Anolis sagrei: one gene and its partner. The main gene of each other region encodes a partner of the protein of the gene in region 2 in a complex. Links are inferred from orthologs where the notes say so. Each region holds a gene or a part of one and is shown on either strand. Other genes may lie near its edges.

The links.
Region 1: FBXL13 (region 2) and IQCG share a complex: the UniProt entries of both Homo sapiens proteins name them as parts of the nexin-dynein regulatory complex. The link is inferred for Anolis sagrei from reciprocal best matches to the Homo sapiens genes FBXL13 and DRC9.

The regions. Positions count from the first base shown.
Region 1 is NC_090023.1:267,625,598-267,636,704, reverse strand, and holds the start of IQCG (dynein regulatory complex protein 9), read right to left. Parts: upstream 5,761-11,107; 5' UTR 5,740-5,760; coding exon 5,705-5,739; intron 1-5,704. Other genes in the region: RPL35A (large ribosomal subunit protein eL33), read left to right, coding at 10,408-10,418. UniProt on the Homo sapiens protein: Component of the nexin-dynein regulatory complex (N-DRC), a key regulator of ciliary/flagellar motility which maintains the alignment and integrity of the distal axoneme and regulates microtubule sliding in motile axonemes.
Region 2 is NC_090025.1:85,406,457-85,417,890, reverse strand, and holds the start of FBXL13 (F-box and leucine-rich repeat protein 13), read right to left. Parts: upstream 4,402-11,434; 5' UTR 4,342-4,401; coding exon 4,267-4,341; intron 1-4,266. Other genes in the region: ARMC10 (armadillo repeat-containing protein 10), read left to right, coding at 8,630-8,843. UniProt on the Homo sapiens protein: Substrate-recognition component of the SCF (SKP1-CUL1-F-box protein)-type E3 ubiquitin ligase complex.

The DNA of each region.
Region 1 (11,107 bases), on a different chromosome or scaffold from region 2:
AAGTGCTTTGGAGGACTATGGGATCAAGTGCTATGGGATCATTATTCTGGGACAGCCATGTCGTCAAGCTCCTCTTAAAGACTGCCAGAGTTGGGGCCTGCCTGATGTCTTTAGGAAGTGAGTTCCAGAGTCAGGGGGCCACCAGCGAAAAGGCCCTCACTCTCGTCCCCACCAATCACGCCTGCGATGCAGGTGGGATCGTGAGCAGGGCCTCTCCAGATGAACGGAGAGATCGTGTGGGTTCGTATACAGAGATGTGGACACGCAGGTAGGCGGGTCCCAAACCGTTCAAGGCTTTGTAGGTAAGAACCTGCACCTTGAATTGGGTCCGGAAATGAATGGCAACAAGTGGTGCTCCTTGAACAGGAGGGTTGACTGCTCCCTGTAAGGAGCCCCAGTTAACAACCTGACCGCTGCCCGTTGGACCATCTGGAATTTCCGAGCCGTTTTCAAGGGCAGCCCCATGTAGCGTGCATTACAGTAATCCAGTCTAGAGGTGACTAAGGCATGGATCACCTTGGCCATATAGTTGGTGTTCACTGAAATTTGGTTCCAGGATAACCTATGGATAACGAAGTCTATGGATGCAACAAAGTGGGCTTTCTAATATAAAATGACAAAATCAAGATTTTCTTTTTGGATTTTTTTTAGGAGGGAAATATTTTGAATCCATGGAGGGCTGAATTTATGGAGATAGAAGATTTAATGTAAATCATCAAACATGTCACTGTATTCCCACTTCTATGTATGGCTGTAAAAGCTGGGCAGGGAAGAACACTGATAGGAACCAAAGAAACCCATTTAAGATGTGGTTCTGGAGGAGAATTCTGAAGAGTCCACTGGTCTTTGCCTTTTGCTCTGAGCTTCTGAAAGAAGATTCCCAGATGCATCCTGCAGTGCCTCCTTCTGGTGAATTCAGTGTCTGACAATTGAAAGAAAACAGCCTGTTTGATTTGCATCCCAGAAATCCTAGGTATGTCTCTTGGAAGGGTTAGTTCATTCACAGTAGAGCTGGAAAGGACTCACTGAGATCATCTGGTGCATAATAATAATAAAATAATTATAATAATAAAATGTTATTTATATATCACCCTATCTCCCCAAAGGGCATTCACACCTCAAGGGCCTCTGAGGGTGAATCTGCACTGCAGAATGGGTGCAGTTTGACACCACTTGAACTGCCATGGCTGAATGCTGGAAGTCCTGGGCACTGTAGTTTTGCAAGGTCTTTAATATTACCCGGTACCTCACCACACTATGGATGTTACAATGTGTGTTTCCTAAATGAGATTCTCTTTGTTTTGGCCCAGATCTACCTGAAGTTCTCTAAAATCCCGATTCTCCCCACCAAGACATATAATTTTTATTATTCCAAAAGAGAACTCATTCCTCTTCACATGGGGAAAGCCTAAAAGGCCATTCACTTGATCTAAACAAGCTTCCAAATAACATGGCATCCATGAAAGACAAAAATAAAAGAACAAATTGATTTGAGTAATCTGCAATGAATTCAGGATAACTTAAGTATCTCACTTCATGGCATGACTTTGGTTAGAACACGCATAGGCAAACTTCAGCCCTCCGGGTGTTTTGGAGTTCAACTCTCATAACTCCAGGAATTGTGGGAGTTGAAGTCCAAAACACCTGGAGGGCCGAAGTTTGCCCATGCCTGGGTTAGAAGATGCAAGAATAATATCCTGTCACCTGATGTTGATAATCTTTTTTGAAAAAAAGTCATACAAAAATATTGACTTACCTATGAAAAATTTCTTACTACATTCATATGCAAAAGAAGATTACATTTTTATATATTTTATATAGGTTGTCATGTTAAAAGATCACTGAGAGATATTTGGGATGAAAGTGGCCTCACTTCATGCTCTCCTCACTCCTTCCTCTCCATGACTGGGCTTTCTTTCTTTCTCTCCATTGCTGCCAGCCAACCAATGTGTACATTCTAGTTTTAATTTTAGAAATATGTATGTCACCATATAGATTTATGTACTGTCTCTGAGGCTCCCAGAACCAGAAGACATGCAAAATGTTCATTGTTAATAACTCATTCTCAAATAGCCTCACCAGGTATTGTCAAAGGCTTTCATGGCTGGAATAACTGGGTTGTTGTAGGTTTTTCCGGGCTATATGGCCATGGTCTAGAGGCATTTTCTCCTGACGTTTTGCCTGCATCTATGGCAAGCATCCTCAGAGGTAGTGAGGTCTGTTGGAAGTAGGAAAATGGGTTTATATATCTGTGGAATGACCAGGGGGGGACAAAGGACTTTTGTTGGCCACCCTGTCCCACCCTGGTCAGTCCACAGATATATAAACCCATTTTCCTACTTCCAACAGACCTCACTACCTCTGAGGATGCTTGTCATAGATGCAGGCGAAACGACAGGAGAAAATGCCTCTAGAACATGGCCATATAGCCCGGAAAAACCTACAACAACCCAGCCTCACCAGGGCTGTATATAGCCAGCCATTCTGTCCACAAGCATAGAATGGACTGTAAAGTGTTTATGGTTCCTTTGTTTATCATGGGCTTCCAATTTTAGGTTTAAACTAGTGTTTACTATGCAGCTGACCTTACTATACTATAGGAAATGAAGCTATGCTTTATTACCTATAGGCTTTAGTTGGTCTGTGTTCTTTGGTACATATATAATATTCTAGCGTATAATAATAGTAATTTTTTCTTATTTGCCTCTCCTCATGGCTCGAGGTGGGTTACAACATTGTGCGTATTCAGAAGAAGACCTACAAGCCACTCTATACACCTTCACAGAAGCATATGAGAAGCTCAGCCTGTCATTGAACATCAAGAAAACCAAAGTGCTCTTCCAGCAGTCAGCAGCCAACCCCTCTCCAATGCCAGAAATACAGCTTAATAGTGTAACATTAGAAAATGTTGACCATTTCCGCTACTTTGGCAGTCACCTCTCCACAAAAGTCAGCATTGACACTGAAATACAATACTGCCTGAGCTCTGCGAGTGCAGCTTTTTTCCAAATGAAGCAGAGAGTGTTTGAGGACCGGGACATCCATAGGGAGACCAAGGTGCTTGTTTATAAAGCTATTGTCCTCCCAACCCTGCTATATGCCTGCGAAACGTGGACTGTCTACAGACGTCACATGCAACTCCTGGAACGATTCCATCAGCGCTGCCTTCAGAAAATCCTGCAAATCTCTTGGGAAGACAAGCGGACAAACGTCAGTGTTCTGGAAGAAGCAAAGACCACCAGCATTGAAGCGATGTTCCTCTGCCATCAACTCCGCTGGACCGGTCACGTTGTAGGTTCTTACCTACAAAGCCCTAAACGGTTTGAGACCCGCCTACCTGCATGACCGCATTTCTGTGTACGAACCCACATTATCTCTTCGATCATCTAGAGAAGCCCTACTCGCGCTCCCACCTCCTTCGCAGGCACGATTGGCAGGGACGAGGGAGAAGGCCTTCTCTATGGTGGCCCCCCGACTCTAGAACTCTCTACCTAAAGATATCAGACAAGCCCCCACATTGGCAGTCTTTAGGAGGGGCCCCAAAATGTGGTTGTTCCAGTGTGCCTTCCCAGAATAAGGAAAACTCTCAGCAATATGCCCTCAAAATGCACTTTACCACTGATTTAGGACTGACTGCGTTCCCTCATCTCTCTTTGAAAACCCTATACCAGTTATATCCTACCTTATTCATGCTCAGCGTTATTTTTTTAAATTTTAAACTATTACATTTGGCCCGGCCATAGGTTTTTAAATTCTTGTGTGTTACTGTTTATTGTTTATGTGATTTATATTAATTGTATTGTATTGATTGTTTTTGTTATTGCTTTTGTTTATTGATGTACTGTTGGGCTTGGCCTCATGTAAGCTGCACCGAGTCCCTTGGGGAGATGGTAGCGGGGTATAAATAAAGTATTATTATTATTATTATTATTATTATGCCCGACCACTGTCTGCCAAAGCAGTTGCTCTACTCCGGACTCAAGAACGGAAAATTGAATGTTGGAAGACAGGAAAAGAGATTTAAAGATTGGCTCAAAGCCAACCTCAAAAACTCTGGCATAGACACTGAGAACTGGGAAGTCCTGGCCCTTGAGCGCTCCAGCTGAAGGTCAGCTGTGACCAGCAGTACTGCAGAATTTGGTTTTCTTTTTTTTATCATAGTTATTACATTTGTTATGCGTTTGGTTATAGCAGTTACATATTATTCAACACACTCTTTAACATATAATCTTATTATTCTACTTAAGCATTTTCCCCCTTTGTTTCCCACCACTGTGCTCCCCTCCCCCCATATCAAGCCACAACTTTTACATATCGTCTGTCCAAAATTTCAATTCTTCTTGTGACGGTAACTTTCCTTCTTTGTTTTTTAAACCATTTACTACAAATTTTCCCCATACAACATCAAAATCACTTTGTTTCCATATACCTTTTTGAACTTTTAATATACATGTCAATTTATCATTTATTGCTATTTTCCATGCTTCCTTATACCACTCCTCTATTTGTATATTCATTTCTTTTTTCCAATTCCTTGCTATGAGCAGTCTTGCTATAGTTAATAAGTTTGTTATCGTTTCTTTATCCTCCTTTTTCCATTGTGTATTGTTATATAATAAAGCTATACTAGGGCTTTTCTCAATTTTAATGTTCATTATATCTTCTATTTCTCTAAATACTTTCCCCCAAAAATTATTTACATATTTACATTGCCACCACATATGTATATATATTCCTGGTTCTTGACATCCTCTCCAACAATTTTTTGAATTATTTTTATTTATATATGCTAATCTTACTGGTGTCAGATACCACTTCCATATTAACTTATAATAATTTTCTTTAACACGTATTGATAATTTTTTTAATGTCTTTGTCTCCATAATTGTTGCCACTCTGTTTCGTTTATTTTTATTTATTTTAAAATAAACAAATAAATAAAGTATTATTATTATTATTATGCCCGACCACCGTCTCCAAAGCAGTTACTCTACTCCGAACTCAAGAACGGAAAATTGAATGTTGGAAGACATGAAAAGAGATTGAAAAATGGACAAAGCTTTCTACAGGAGCTCTTGGTATTATGTCCTGTGCGAAAACCTTCTCTGTGTGGACTGTACCCAAACTGGCTCCTATTCCCTCCAAAAACCCAAAGGGGGCGGGACCAGGGAACCTAACTATAATTGACTGGTGGCTTGCCCTATGATTGCAGCCAAAAGAAGCCACCTATCTGCAGAGTCCCTGAAACTTAGGACTACAAACATTCAATGCAAAGCAAACAAAATTGGAGCTCCTGGTACAGCTGTACCTGCACAGGCATAGACACTGAGAACTGGGAAGTCCTGGCCCTTGAGCGCTCCAGCTGGAGGTCAGCTGTGACCAGCAGTGCTGCAGAATTTGAAGAGGCACAAATGGAAGGTGAAAGAGAGAAGACAATCCTACTTGGACAATGAGGGATTGCCTAAGTAAGTAAAGATAGATAGATAGATAGATGGATAATTTGTTCTTCCCTTTTCCTGAGGCCTAACTTTAGTGAAGGCCTTGAGGCCTCCTCTCTTGGGATAGTTTCCATCTTAATATTCACTGCATTCCCTCTTTTTGTGTTTGGAATTTCTGCTGCTTTCTCCCAAATGTTTCCTGAATGCTTTTCCTGTGTGAAAAACCCTCTCAACTCAATAGAACCGTTCTGAAGGGACTCACTCACCAAGAGGTATCACTTGCACAGCTTGACGTCGCCATGGTTACCACTCACTTCCTGTGGGGCCCTCACATTAGCAAAAGGCTGTCTATATAAAAGCCTGACATTTTTTAAAAATCGTTAAATTACAGAGGATGAAATAAAAGCTCGATATTGGAAATCAAACACCCAAATCGAAGTTTTAAATTCCACTTTTTAAAATACCCCCCAAAATGTTGTGATATTTCAGTCAGGCGAATAGCGTAACCACCTATCTCTAAACAAGGAAGGGGTCCTGGCGATTTTGTCCCCCTATCCCGGCTTGCACCGCGGCGCCGCTCTCTCTTTCTGCCGCCATCTTGGGCCGGTGCTGCTGAGGTGAGGAAGGGGGGCGCGCGTTTCGTGGGGAGGAATCCGTGGAAACCGCGGGGAAAGCGGCTCCCGAGTGGGGTCGGCGGGTGAAGCGAGGTCTGAGGAGTGGAAGGAGCCGGGGATGGCGGCGGAAGGCGGTGGGATGCCGTGGATGGAGGCCGGATGCTGCGGCCTGGCCTAGTTTCGTTTCTACGCCTTAGCTGGCTGATTCCATGGGACGAAGGGAAGGAAGGAAGGCCTGTATTGTCGAAGGCTTTCATGGCTGGAATCACTAGGTTCTTGTGGTTTTTTTCGGGCTATGTGGCCATGTCCTAGAGGCATTCTCTCCTGACGTTTCGCCTGCATCTATGGCAAGCATCCTCAGAGATAGTGTGGTCTGTTGGAAGTAGGAAAAGGGGTTTATATATCTGTGGAATGACCAGGGTGGGACAAAAGACACATCAACACTGACAAAGAAACAACAAGAAATACTGTTTATCCACAAGCATAAAGAAATTACATATATTAGAAACCAACACTTTCTCATTACTTTATTTTCCAGATCAACAGACTGGGCCACAGCAATGCGTGGCAGGGAACAGCTAGTAATATATAATATTGTGCTTTACTTATATATATATATATATATATATATATATATATATATCACATATGTGTGTGTGTGTATATATATATATATATATATATATATATATATATATATACACACACACACACACACTAGTCGTCACCTGCCAAGCGTTGCAGTGGCCCACATGAGGGTTCTGTATGGGAGGTTTGGCCCAATTCTATCAGTGGCGTTCAGAATGCTCTGTGATTGTAGGTGAACTATAAATCCCAGCAACTACAACTCCCAGATGTCAAGATTCTATTTCCCCCAAACTCCACCAGTGTTCACATTTGGGCATATTGAGTGTTCGTGTAGAGTTTGGTCCAGATCCATCATTGTTTGAGTCCACAGTGATCTCTGGATGTAGGTGAACTACAACTCCAAAACCAAAGGACACTGCCCACCAAACCCTTCCAGTATTTTCTGTTGGTCATGGGAGAAATGTGTGCCAAGTTTGGTTCAATTCCATCGTTGGTGGGGTTATGAATGCTCTTTGTTTGTAGGTGAACTATACATCCCAGCAACTACAACTCCCAAATGACAAACTCATTTTTTTTTAGTGATGGTCACTCCTTGGGTTAGTAGGTGTCTTGTGGCCAAATTTGGTTGCAATTCCCCCAGTGGTTTTTGAGTTCTGTTAATCCCACAAACGAACATTGCATTTTTATTTATATAGATTGCAGTATAGTGCTATGCTACAATATAGAAATATATAATACTAATAGTGTGTTATGCTAATTTAGTATATTGTATATACATGTAATATTGATAATAATATTATAATGTAATGCAATATAGTGCTAATCATAATACAATATAATAATATTGAAATAGTGATGCTACTATAATAAATATAATTACTTATTTACAATATATATCCATCTATATAAATAAAAATGTAATGTTCATTTGTGGGATTAACATCACTCAAAAACCACTGGGTAAATTGACACCAAATTGGACACAATACACGTATCAGGCCAAGAAGTAACCATCACTCATGAAAATACTGAAAAACACAGCAAAAAAGACATAAAAAGCAAAAAAACCAAACCAAAACATTAGAACACATGCGCAAAACCACATATATACACAAAAATAAAAATATATACACACACAAAACACAAATACAGAGACTGGACCACAGCAACGCGCGGCAGGGGACGGCTAGTATATATATATATAAACCTGTGGGATAAATGTCCAAGGTGGAAGAAAGAACCCTTGTTTGCTTAACACAAATGTGAATGTTGCAATTAGCAAGCTTGAATAGCATTGAGTAGCCACTAAGCTGTAAAGTCAATGGTAAGGTATCTGCATAGAGCAGTGGTTCCCAACCTTTGGGCTCCAGGTGTTTTGGACCAGCTGTTAGGAACTGTGGGAGCTAAAGTTCAAAATTCCTGGAGGCCCAAAGGCTAGGAACCACTGGCATAGAGGGAGCCTGCTCTTTGTTGCCTGGAGACATCCTCTGGGGGGTGTTAATTGGCTCTTGATTGTTTGCTATCTGGAGTTCTGTTTCTGAGTGGTGTTCCTTATTTACTATCCTAATTCTGGTGTTTTTTTTTAATACTGTTAACCACCTCTAAGCAGATAACTTCACAGATTGATACTGCAGGTGAAAGGCTACTCAATTCTTACTAATTGCAACATTCACAGACAAGTGTTCTTCCTCCCGCCATGGACATTCTGCAGATAGATAGACTTGCTTCATTGCCAACAGAACCTCTGAAGATGCCAGCCACAGAAGCAGGAGAGAAATCAACTGGAACATGGCCACACAGTCCAAAAAACTCACAGCAATCCATTGATTCTGGGCATGAAAGCCTTCAACAACACAATAGTACACTTTATTTATACTCTCTGCCTTGGCTCGAGGCAGGATACAACATAGAATGGGCGTAGGCAAACTTCGGCCCTCCCTCCATATATTTTGTAAACCGCCCTGAGTCTTTCCGGGGAGAGAGGGCAGTCTAGAAATAAGGAATTATTATTATTATTATTATTATTGGTCCTCAACTCCCACAATTCCTAAAAGCCTAATGGAGGTGAAGTCGAAAACACCTGGAGGACTGAAGTTTGCCCATTCCTGAATAAAATCAAGACAAACTAACATATTTATTTATTTATCGTGTCAGAGGCAGACCAAACAGTTGCATTGCATTTTTTAACAAACAAACAAAACTCAAAGTTTGCAAGCTTGGTAGTTGATTAAATGTCCTTTGAACCAGTATCTGACCACTTGGAGTGCCTCTGGTGTTGCCACAAGAAGGTCCTCCATTGTGCATGTGGCAGGGCTCAGGTTGCATTGCAGCAGGTGGACAGTGGTTTGCTCTTCACCACACTCGCATGTTGTGGATTCCACTTTGTAGCTCCATTTCTTAAGGTTGACTTTGCATCTTGTGGAGCGCAGTCTGTTCAGTGCCTTCCAAGTCACCCAGTCTTCTGTGTGCCCAGGAGGGACTCTCTCATTTGGTATCAGCCATTGGTTGAGGTTCTGGGTTTGAGCCTGCCACTTTTGGACTCTCGCTTGCTGAGGTGTTCCAGCAAGTGTCTCTGTAGATCTTAGAAAACTATTTCTTGATTTAAGTCGATGAAAAACTAACATAAAATACACAGATAAAAACACTATAATTAAGAACATACATGGGGTATAGAAATCAACATATAGTGACAATGCAATGCAAATTAAAAACTTGTGATTCAGGTTTGATTGGGTAGGCCTGCCTGAAGAGAAGAATCTTTAATTTTGTTTTTAAATTCTGCCATAATAGAAATGGAACCGAAGTCTAAACAAGAAATTCACTGCTGGCTGCATCTTCACTGTAGAATTAATGTGATTTGATGCCACTTTCACTTCCCTGGCTCAATGCTATGGAATCCTCAGAGTTGTCGTTTTACAAGGTCTGCCAAGGAAGACTGCTTCCTAACAAAACTACAACTCCCAGGATTCCATAACATTGAGCCAGTTAAAGGGATTTCAAACTGCATTAATTCTATATTATAAATGCACCCTTAAATAGTCCCAATTAATCCTTTATCATCCCGCTTTGTTTGCTGTTGCTAAAACATTCTAGTTCTTCTCTCCTCCTTTGTCCTCAACTTACTTCAGTTGCAAATTGCCACTGAATGGCAAAAAGAGAAGATACAAAAACATGTCCTTCATCATTTATTTTTTTATTTATTTATTTGCAACATTTATATGCTGCCCTTCTCACCCCGAAGGGGACTCAGAGTAGCTTACAAGATACATATACATACAATATATCATATTGGGGATGAGAGACAGGGCCATCTCAGTGGTGGCCCCTCCATTCTAACATTCCGCAAAATGGTTAAGACCTGGATCTTCAAGCAAGCTTTTTCTACTAGAGCATAACTAGACGTAAATGAATATATGGAATGACTGACGATGCAACTGGACAATGATTTTAGTAAGGAGATGCTGGGGATCTTGTTTTTACAGATATATTTGCTTCTTATATTACATTTTAAATGTTGAATTGTTTTTATATTTGTATTAATTGTATTTTGATATTTGTTATGGCATTGAATCACTTTCGACTGAACCGCTTTGTGTCGCGTCTGGCTGAGAAAGGCGGTATACAAATGTGGTAAATAAGTAAATTGAGCCATGACAGTAGAAGGAGTCTAGTTCTTTAAACTGATTCTGAGCACTGCACATGCCAATTTAACCTTCCTTGTGATTCCTTCCTTCAGGCCTGCTGGGGACAGGACTTCAAGCAATACCATGACTGGCAGGTAGGGATGTGTTTTATTTGGAAATCTTTTAAAAATAAGATACCTTTACACATTTTTGTGTTATTGTAGAGACTTTCAATGTGTCACCCATTTAAAGTAGCGGAATGTCTTATAAACTGTAAAAGGAATATTGAATGTTGTTATTATTTTGCATTATGAAGTTTTCCCTCACAATCTGAATGGTGTAAGGCAGGGGTCCACAAACTTTTTAAACAGAGGGCCAGGTCACAGTCCCTTAAACTGTTGGCGGGCCAGATTATAATTTAAAAAAATACAAATGAATTCCTATGCACACTGCACATATCTTATTTATAGTGCAAAAACATTTTAAAACAATACAATAATTAAAATTAAGAACAATTTTAACAAATATAAACTTCTTAGTATTTCAATGGAAAGTGTGGGCCTGATTTTGGCTGATGAGATAGGATTGTTGTTGTTGTGTGCTTTCAAGTAGTTTCATACTAAGGTTAACCCTAAGTGAGGGGCAGGTAAATGACCTTGGAGGGCCGTATCCGGCCCCCGGGCCTTAGTTTGAGGACCCCTGGTGTAAGGTATCAAAACCATATGAAACTGTCTTCTCTTGTGTTGTAATGTAGCTTGCTGGTCTGGCTGGAATTTAATTCTGTCAAAAAGGAAAAATGAAAACAAACAAACACAGTTTTACTACAGACTTGATAATATTCTCA
Region 2 (11,434 bases):
AAGGATGTGAAATACAATAGGTGTCACAAATATGCAGCATTAGATAAAGTCCTTTAATTTTGTCTACTGCTCCCTCTGCTGGATTGGAATAGAACTTGCTTTTGAAAAATGTAAGTGCGCACAGGCAGTCCCCAAGTTACAAACATCTGATTTACAAATGACTCACAGTTAAGAACCGAGATGAGACAAAAGGAAGTGAGGGAAATCTACCCCTAGGAAAGGAAACTTACTCCTGAAAGAGTTATTTACATAGGAGAAAAGGGTCTCTACTGAAGTTTTATCACCAATCCTTGTTTCCACAATAAGCCAAATTTCTCAAAATCCAATTATCACAGGGACAGAAAGTGAGGTGGCTGGAGTTACACTTTAAAATGTACCTGTTCCAACTTACAAACAAATCCATCTTAAGAGCAAACCTGTCTTATTCGTAACTTGGGGACTACCTGTATTCTCTTACTGCATTAGGACAGCAAATAAATTTAATTTCATTACCATGACCATTTGGCTGATGTCTCTATATATAAGCAATATATGACTAAATCATAGAGGGCAAATGACGACAAGAACAGAATTCAAAACAATTTTGACAAATTAAGAGAGATGGGCCAAAACTAACAAAATGAAGTTCAACAGTGACAAATGCAAGATACTCCACTTAGGCAGAAAAAATGAAATGCAAAGATACAGAATGGGGGACGCGTGGGTCGAGGGCAGTGCTAGTGGAAAAGATCTTGGAGTCCTCATGGACAACAAGTTAAACATGAGCCAACAATGTGACACAGCAGCGAAAAAAGCCAATGGGATTTTGGCCTTCATCAATAGGAGTCTAGTGTCTAGATCCAGGGAAGTCATTGTACCCCTCTATTTTGCCTTGGTTAGACCACATCTGGAATGCTGTGTCCAATTCTGGGCATCATAATTGAAGAGAGATATTGACAAGCTGGAATGTGTCCAAAGGAGGGCGACTAAAATGATCAAGGGTCTGGAGAACAAGCCCTATGAGGAGCGGCTTAAAGAGCTGGGCATGTTTCCAAATGAAGCACAGAGTGTTTGAGGACCAGGACATCCGTAGGGATACCAAGGTGCTTGTTTATAAAGCTATTGTCCTCCTAACCCTGCTATATGCCTGCAAAATGTGTACTGTCTACAGATGTCACATGCGTGGAATGTCTACAGATGTCACATGCAACTCCTGGAACGATTCCATCAGTGCTGCCTTCGGAAAATCCTGCAAATCTCTTGGGAAGACAGGCGGACAAACGTCAGCGTGCTGGAAGAAGCAAAGACCACCAGCATTGAAGCGATGGTCCTCCACCATCAACTCCACTGGACCAGCCACGTTGTCCAGATGCCCAACTACCATCTCCCAAAGCAGTTGCTCTACTCCGAACTCAAGAAGGGGAAACGGAATGTTGGTGGACAGGAAAAGAGATTTAAAGATCGGCTCAAAGCCAACCTTAAAAACTCTAGCATAGACACTGAGAGCTGGGAAGCCATGGCCCTTGAGCGCTCCAGTTGGTGGTCAGTTGTGACCAGCAGTGCTGCAAAATTTGAAGAGGCATGAAAGGAGGGTGAAAGAGAGAAACGTGCCAAGAGGAAGGCGCATCAAGCCAACCCGACCGGGACCGCCTTCCACCTGGAAACCAATGCCCTCATTCAGGACTGTAGCCAGGATTTCGATTCGGGGGAGGCTGAGTTTGTTTCGGGGGGCGGGGCTAAGTCTGAGTGAAAGAGGGTCTACCCTAGCAAACCTTCTGTATCGTTACCCCAATACCCCCAAGCATATGGAATATATTGAGTATGGTGATCAGATCATGATATGAATAAACATAACAGTTTAAATAATGCACCAGTAAGGCCTTTTCGTGAACCACCATGAGAATTTCCGGGGGGGGGGGGGCTGAAGCCCCTCAAGCCCCCCCCCCCCTTGGCTACACATCTGCCCTCACTGTGGAAGAAGATGCAGATCAAGAATAGGGCTCCACAGCCACCTACAGACACAAGAATTCTGATCCTGGAAGACTATCCTTCTCGGCCAACGAGGGATCGCCTAAGTAAGTAAGTAAGTAAAGACTGTCAGAGTTAGGGCATGTCTGATGTCCTTGGGAAGTGAGTTCCAGAGTCGGGGGGCCACTACCGAGAAGGCCCTCTCCCTCGAACTACTCTTCATGATTTGCTAAAAAAGGTTTCAACCCTCCCCGAAATTTTTTTTCTGGCTACGGTCCTGGTAGAGGCTCCTTCTTTGGAAGCTTTTAAACAGAGGCTGGATGGCCATCTAAATGCAATTTTCCTGCTTCTTGGCAGGGGGTTGGACTGGATGGCCCATGCAGGGGAGGCTCAACCCATTACGCAAAGTAAGCATTTGCAGTATTTATTATTTCGATTACTTCTACCCCGCCCTTCTCACCCTGGAGGGGACTCAGGGCAACTTACAAACGCACAATTCGATGCCGGCATCACGTAACAGTAGTAAAACAATATAGCAGCAATTAACAGTTAAACAACAGTTCCTGCATTACAACAATAAAACCAATAAAACCAATACAAACCCATTACTCCTCATTAACGGTCAGCGTTCACCATCTCATAGTCTAATTTCCAATTCCACTTTGTCAGTCCTGTCAGTCCTAGTCGTCTGATTGTCCTTATCTAGTTGTCAGATTGCCCAAAGGCCTGGTCCCACAACCACGTCTTTACTTTCCTCCTGAAGGAGAGGAGGGATGTTGATGACCTAATTTCCCCCGGGAGTGAGTTCCACAGGTGAGGGGCCACCACTGAGAAAGCCCTGCTCCCCGTCCCCACCAACCTCACTTGTGATAGCGGTGGGGTCGAAAGCAGGGCCTCTCCAGATGATCTCAAACTCCGGGGTGGGACATAGAGGGAGATGCGTTCGGACAGATACACTGGACCAGAATAGGGCAGTGGTTCTCAACCTTCCTAACGCCGCAACCCCTTTATATAGTTCCTCATGTTGTGGTGACCCCCAACCCTAAAATTATTTTCGTTGCTACTTCATAACTGGAATTTTGCTACTGTTATGAATCGTCATGTAAATATCTGATAGGCAGGATGTATTTTCATTCTCTGGACCTTGGGAGTTATAGTTGCTGGGATTTACAGTTCACGTACAATCAAAGAACTTTCTGAGTTCCACCAGAGATGAAATTGACCCAAACTTGGCACACAGAACACCCATGACCAGCAAAAAATAATGAAAGCGTTAGGTGAGCATTGGCCTTGAGTTGTAGTTCACATATCTCCAGAAAGCACTGTGGACTCAAACAATGATAGATCTGGACTAAACTTGGCATGAATACTCAATATGCCCAAATGTGAACACTGCTGGGAGTTTGGGGGAAATAGACCTTGACATTTAGGAGTTGTAATTGCTGGAATTTATAGTTTACCTACAATCAGAGAGCATTCTGAACCCCACCGACGATAGAATTGGGCCAGACTTCCCACACAGAACTCCCATGAGCAGCAGTGCATCTTGGTGGTCTTTGGCGACCCCTCTAACACTCCATCGTGACCCCCACCCAGGGGTCCCGACCCCCAGGTTGAGAAACACTAGTATAGGGTTTTGTAGGTCAAAACCAGCACCTTGAATTGTGCTCGGAATTGAACCGGCAGCCAGTGGAGCTGACACAACAGGGGGGTGGTGTGCTCCCTGTATGACGCTCCGGTGAGTAATCTGGCTGCCGCTCGCTGGACCAGTTGAAGTTTCCAAACAGTCTTCAAGGGCAACCCCACGTAGAGTGCGTTGCAGTAGTATAGTTGATAGACCTTGACATATGCGAGTTGTAGTTACTGGGATATATAGTTCACCTACAATCAAAGAGCATTCTGAACTCCACCAATGATGGAATAGAACCAAATATGGCACACAGAACTCCCACAACAAACAGAAAATATATATCAGTGATTGGTTGTCGGGGGATACTGTTTGCTTACTATTAAAAATTACCTAGGGCCGCCTCTGGGCCCATGAGGTCTCTTCCAACTCTAGGATTCTATTATTCTAAATTCAATTTTAAAAGCTCTTCAAGATATTAGTTCAGTTCCAAAACAATGCCACACAAATACAGTACTGAAGGTGTGACTGGTAAGGAAACTCTCCTTGCGACTCTCTGGCCTAGCGGGATGGAGGTGGATCATAAGAATGCATGCCTACTAGGCCAGCACAGCAAAAAAAGGGAGGCCTTCCCTGACAACGTGTTAGACCTGGTTTCATCCCTCTCCAATTTCCCCAGGCGGCCCTTTTACCTCATAGATGTCAGGGATGGAGTGTTTCTTGAAGTAGGCCCTGAGTTCGGGGCCCACGCCTTGAAACGTAGCCATGGCCCCACGGAGAGGAGAGGAGGGGGTCCTCCTCCCGGCCTGGCCCCCTGAGGTGACCGTTTGGCGGTCGCCTAGCAACCGGGCTGCACGTGCCCTCGAGCCAAGCCCCGGGTGGTCAGCGCGCGCCGGCCCACTCGCCCTCGCCTGCCACTCAAACTGCCAGACACCAGAAGTATTCAAAAGGAGGAAAGGAGGAGGAAAGAATGTGGCAGCGCCATTCACACTAACCTTTTTATGTTGGGGACTAGCTGTCCCCTGCCACGCGTTGCTGTGGCCCAGTCTAGTGATGAGAAAGTAACGAGAAAGTGTTGGTTTCTAATATATGTAATGTCTTTTTTATATATATATACATTTTTATTAGTGATTGACAATAAAAAAGGGGGTTGAGAAGGGGGGAAGCTTGGGAGGGTTTATCTCTCTTCATATAAACATTTCCAGTAGATATTTCTTTCTTTTCTTCTTTTTCTTGGTAATGGGTCTATATGGATTAGGTTTCTTTATTATTATTGACTAGCTGTCCCCTGCTACGCGTTGCTGTGGCCCAGTCTGTTGATCTGGAAAATAAAGTAATGAGAAAGTATTGGTTTCTAATATATGTAATTCCTTTATGCTTGTGGGTATACAGTATTTCTGCTGTTTTTTGTCAGTGTTGATGTGGAGAGTGTCTGGTTTGCCCACCTTGGCTTTAAGGGTCCCTTTCAAATCTATGATACTATTTCTCTCTGTGTGTGAATCATATCTATATCTGTCTATCTATCTATCTATCTATCTATCTATATCTATGGCTGGATGACTCTTTGTCAGGAGGGCTTTGATTACATTTTCTTGCCCTAGTGAAGAGAGTTGGACTGGATGGCCTTAAGTATTTTCTGTTGCTCATGGGGGTTCTGTGTGGGAAGTTTAGCCCAATTCTATCGCTGGTGGGATTCAGAATGTGCTTTGATTGTAAGTGAACTATAAATCCCAGTAGCGACAATTTCCAAATATCAAAGTCTATTTCCCCCAAACCCCATCTGTGTTCATATTTGGGCATATGGAATATTCGTACCAAGTTTGGTCCAGATCCATCATTGTTTGAGTCCACAGTGCTCTCTGGATGTAGGTGAACTACAACTCCCAAACTCAAGGTCAATGCCCACTAAACCCTTCTAGTGTTTCTGTTGGTCATGGGAGTCCTGTGTGCCACGTTTGGTTCAATTCCATCATTGGTGGAGTTCAGAATACACTTGGATTGTATAAATCCCAGCAACTACAACTCCCAAATGACAAAATCCATTTTTTTTTTTAGTGAGGGTCACTCCTTGGGTGAGTAGATGTCTTGTGTCCAAATTTGGTGGCAATTCGTCCAGTGGTTTTTGAGTTGTTAATCCCACAAACGAACATTACATTTTTATTTATATAGATGAGTGTGCCTGGATAAAAAGGCCACTTCTACACTACCCTATATCCCAGGATCTGATTGCAGATTACTTGCTTAGCCCAGATTATATAACAGTGGAGACTCACATAATCCAGTTCAAAGCAGATAATCTGGGACCAAATCCTGGGATATGGGGCAGTGCAGATCTAATAATAATAATAATAATAAGAAGAAGAAGAAGAAGAAGAAAAAGAAGATGAAGAAGAATCTTTATTTATACCCTGCCACCATCTCCCCGATGGGGATTCGGAGCGGCTTACATGGGGCCAAGCCCGAACAACATAATACATCAAAATAAAACCAAAACATAAACAGCAAGCAACATCATCAAAATTACATGAAAAAAGTAACATTACAATAAACAAAAAACACAGTCGCAGTAAACAATGGGCGGGCCACATGTACAGGATAAAATGTTTAAACTCTAATGAGATAAAAATAGGAGCAAGTTATTTGCAGGGAGCTCATAAAAATACACAGGGTTGTGAAACGAAACTTCGCATTTGGGGGGCGTGTACTCCAGTGACAGAGCAATAGTGTCATGTTGTGCACCTACTCGCTAAAGCAGGGGTAGGGAACCTTCGGCCCTCCAGGTGTGGTGGACTTCAACTCCCACAATTCCTTGAGGCTCGTGTAAGCCTTTGGGGCGAATGCCGAGCCTCAAGGAATTGTGGGAGTTGAAGTCCACCACACCTGGAGGGCCGAAGGTTCCCTACCCCTGCGCTAAAGCCACAGTGGAAGAGCCAGGTTTTAAGGTTCTTTTTAAACTTTTCTAGTATAGGGGCTTTCCTGATCTCTCCAGGTAGTGAGTTCCAGAGTCGAGGAGCCAGAGAGGAGAAGGCTCTCTCCCTTGTGCCCACAAGACGAGCCTGTGAAATTGGCTGGGGCGAAAGGAGGGCCCGGGTTGGTACATGGAGAGAGATACAGTCACAAATGTAGGTGGGTCCCAAACCGTTTAGGGCTTTGTAGGTGATAACCTGCACCTTGAATTGGGCTCAGAAAATAAACGGCAGCCAATGGAGCTCCTTAAACAGGGGGGTTGACCACTCCTAGCCTTTAATTCCTTTTCCTTGGTTTCATTGGCCCTTTCTACACTGCCATTTAATCCACATTGTCCACTTTGAACTGGATTGTATGAGTCTACACTACCACATAATCCAGTTCAAAGAAGATAATCTGGATTTTATAAGTCCTAATAGCACTTTAGCACAGTTAATATTGCTGCACATCGTACTTTAATCCCGACGCCCCTCCTACCATTTCAGCACTTTTAACCTTGTACCTCTCACCGGCCGAACCAGTTTTTAATATGTCCTGATGTATAGTTACCGTTGTATTGCTAATTTTGATTTGTTTTGTTTTGCTTTTTAATTTGCTTGTCTATTGTTTGTTATGTTTTCTATTGTATTGTGTTTATGGCTTCGGCCTGTGTAAGCCGCATCGAGTCCTTCGGGAGATGCTCGCGGGGTACAAATAAAGTTAATAATAATAATAATAATAATAATTGTCTCATTCCAAGATCTGGTGATGGGTGTCTATGGCTTCTTCCACACAGCTGTATAAAATCCACATTGAACTGGATTATATGGCAGTGTGGACTCAGATAATCCAGTTCCAATGTTGTGGATGATCTGCCTTAATATTTTGGGTTATATGGCTGTGTGGAGTCCCCAGTGGTGCAGTAGGTTAAACCGCTGAGCTGCTGAATTTGTTGACCGAAAGGTCACAGGTTTGAATCCGGGGAGTGGTGGGAGCTCCCACTGTCAGCCCCAGCTTCTGCCAACCTAGCAGTTGGAAAACATGCAGGCAAAAGTATGATAGCTGGGACTCAATGCTGGTTGTGCAACGCGGGTCAGTCGTACAACCAGCATTGGGTCCCAGCTATCATACTTTTAGAGAAGTGAAGACGTTATGTATTTCAACGTGTTTGCATATGATATCCGGATAACCTTAAGCACTATCTTGGCTGTTTGTGCCCCCCCCCCTTTTCTGGTGACCTATCTTGCCACGACTCTGTCGCACCTGCATCTCTCACTCACTGCGCTGTCTCGGCATTGGGTCCCAGCTATCAAATGTGAGTAGATCAATAGGTACCGCTCCGGTGGGAAGGCAATGGTGCTCTATGCAGTTATGCTGACCACATGACCTTGGAGGTATCTACGGATTGTGATTGTGTTTATTGGAATGTTATTTTATGACTATGTTATACTTTTTTTTCTATGTAATTTTGATGATGTTGATTGTTGTTTCTGCTTTGCTTCTATTTTGCTGTAATATGTTGTCCGGGCTTGGCCCCATGTAAGCCGCTCCGAGTCCCCACTGGGGAGATGGTGGCGGGGTATAAATAAAGTTTATTATTATTATTACGGACAACGCTGGTTCTTCGGCTTATATATGGAGATGAGCACCAACCCTCAGAGTTGGACACAACTGGACTTAATGTCAGGGGGAAACCTTAACCTTAAAATGGCTGTGTGGAAGGGCCCTATTTGTGTGCCTTGCCCTTTAAAAACAGAAAACCCATCAACCTAATATGCCTTGGTTTGGTTTGTGGCGAATCTGCTCTTGCGAATCCACTGCTCTGGGAGATTTTCCCAGGTTTACGTTTATTTGTTTTTCGTTTATTTGTTTTTCCCGCTATATTGTTTTGTCCCTCCGATTTGTGAACTGCGGCTGTGGCACCCTTCCACGATTCAAAAGGGGGTGGGGTGAAATAATAAGAAATTATAATTTTTAAAAAGCTTGGAAACTGTAGAAAGGCGAATCTGCTGTTGTCCTTCCAGGGCTGAGCAGCGCGCGCTTCTTCCTGCGCGGGGCGCCCCCTGACGGCGATGCTGGGCTGCCTTCCTTCCTTCTTTTCCGGCGGCCATGCGGGACTCAGCCCTGAAGGCGGGCCTGGTGGGGCTGGCGGTGGGCGCCGGCGTGTGTTGGGCCCTCTATGGCCTGGCCTCCAGGAGAAGGAGGCGCCGCAAGGGAGCGGACCCAGGGGAAAGGGAGCCAAGCGCCCTCTTGCGAGCAGCCTCTGGCCTCCCCTTGGTTTCCAGCTCGAGTGGCAAGAGAGAGGCCGCCACTCCTCAGCAAGGTGAGCCTTGGACCAGCTTGGGTAGAAGTCACCCTGTTTGACCCCACTTGACCTGCCAGGGCTCCGTGCCATGTGATCCTGAGAAGCTCTTTGGCCTTCTAATCTCTGCCTTCTCTTGCCAGAACACTGGGGTGTTTCCAAACTACAAATCCCATGATTCCATCCCATTGAGCCCTGGCAGTTCAAGTGGGGTCAAGCTGTTACAGTGTAGATCAGGCCTGCACAACTTGCGTATGTTTTGGACTTCATTTCCCAGAATTCCTGGCCATTGGAACATCTGGCTAGAGCTTCTGGGAGTTGGAGTCCCAAACAGGTGGAAGACTGTTGTAGCTGAACCCAATACACTGGAGAAGGCAGTTTTCATTGAACATTAGGAATAACTTCCTTACTGTGAGAGCCGTTCAGCAGTGGAACTCTCTGCCCTGGAGTGTGATGGAGGCTCCTTCTTTGGAGGCTTTTAAACAGAGGTTGGATGGCCATCTGTCAGGGGTGCTTTGAATGCAATTTTCTTGCTTCTTGGCAGGGGGTTGGACTGGATGGCCCATGAGGTCTCTTCCAACTCTATGATTCTATGCAAGCAAGCATGCAAGCAAAGTTTATTGATTAGTCCGTTGACTGTATCAACATTAAAAACAAAAACAGAAACATGCACAAATAGACAATAATCACTATCCCAAGACTCCCATAATAGTGAACTAACATACATTCAAACTTGATTAGGTTAAAAGATAATTAAAAATATTATCATTAAAATGCCAAGGTAAAATTTCAAACCACAAAAATTAAAAATGAAGGTTAAAACAAAGGTTAAAATAGGCCAGCTATTACACAATCCGAAGCCACTTCAGATATCTGCGTCACCCCTACAGTTTACCCCAGTCGCCTCCAGATACGCAGTTCTCAGCTGCGTTGCTTTATAAAGGAAAAGGGCTGTTTGGTGTGTTATCTTAGCATTTTGGCCAGCCATTAAGAATGTAGTTTTGATATGGGGATCCCAGTGAGTCTTCTGTATGATGAATGGTCCGAGGTATTGATTTCTCTCTTTGTTGTACAAAATACAATTAAACAGTACATGTGTAATATCCTCTACCTCTGTTGCTCCACAGATACAGAAACATTCATTATATGGAACTTGGTTAAACCTTCCATGTTTAACCATTGTATCTGTCTGTTCGAATCGGGTTCTAGTGAATACCCTCCTTAGATGTTTAGGCATTTCTGTCTTTAGGTATTCGGCTGTTTGAAAAGTATGTTTGAAGAGACTTAACCATTTCAGTGAGCCGGCTTTACTAAGGGTGGCAATGTCTTTCTGAGCCTCTATATCCTGTATTCGTTGTGCCACCATTTTTGGATCTAATTCCTCTAGAAGATTTGGGTATAGAATTGGAAGTCCACAAGTCCTGATGTATTTTGTCAGTTGCACTAGCCAAGAGGACTGGTGTTGGTTTTTGGACTGCTCTAACCGACACAATTTTGGTAGCCTATCATTTGCCATGGCATTTAGTTTTATCCAATATTTGTATGCCCTAATTTTGGATAAACCATTAACCGTATATACTCCTGTCTATGATTCTATGATTCTACATCTGACACTTGTTTTTGATTAACTTTTGGCTTCTTAATCCAAAAATGACCCCAGCTTTTTCTATCACGTCAACATTTTAACATGTGAACAACTCCCTTGTTACACCAGCTCCACTGGCTGTCAATTAGCTTCCGAGCACAATTCAAAGTGCTGGTTTTAACCTATAATACCCTACTCTGTTCCGGCCCAGTTTACCTGTCCGAACATATAATAATAATCTTTATTTATACCCTGCTACCAATTCCCCGATGGGGACTCAGAGCAGCCCGAACAACATATTACATCAAAATAATGTAGTCAAGAACTGGCAATGTCAATTCAAATGTGGTCGGACTTCAGTGGAAACAGCTTCAATTCCAGGGCAACCCCATTCTGCTATTGATGAACGCACCATCCAGCAAGTGAAAGTCTATATATCTTTATATATGTCTTTATATCTTCCCCCCATAAACCATCAAGGACTTTTAAGAGCTTCCAGAGAGGCTCTGCTCTCAGTCCCACCACCTTCACAGTCGCGCTCTCTCCCCACCGAGGTTAGGTCTGCCCCCTCCCTCCTGACCTTCAGGAAGCAACTGAAATCTTGGCTTTGAAATCAGGCATTCGTGTTTTGGACTTCAGCTTCCAGAATTCTTGACATTTGGAAGACTAAAGATTGGAAACCACTGAACTATATGGATGGTGACTGCAGTCCAGCAATATCTGGATGTCCGTGTGACACACAGTCCCTTCCACACAGCCATATAATCCAGAATATCAAGGCAGAAAATCCCACAATATCTGCTTTGAACTGGGTAGTCTGAATCCACATGACCATATATTCCAGTTCAAAACAGATGTGGGATTTTATTCAGCTGTGTGGAAGGGGCCACACACACAAATATCACTTGGCTTGAGGTATAGGCACAGTGGCCAGTTCTCTTCGCAGGAACTGTAAATAACTCTTATCTATTGACTTAATGGCTCCGATTTCTTTTAAAATTAATGGCTACTCAACCACCTTTGCTTT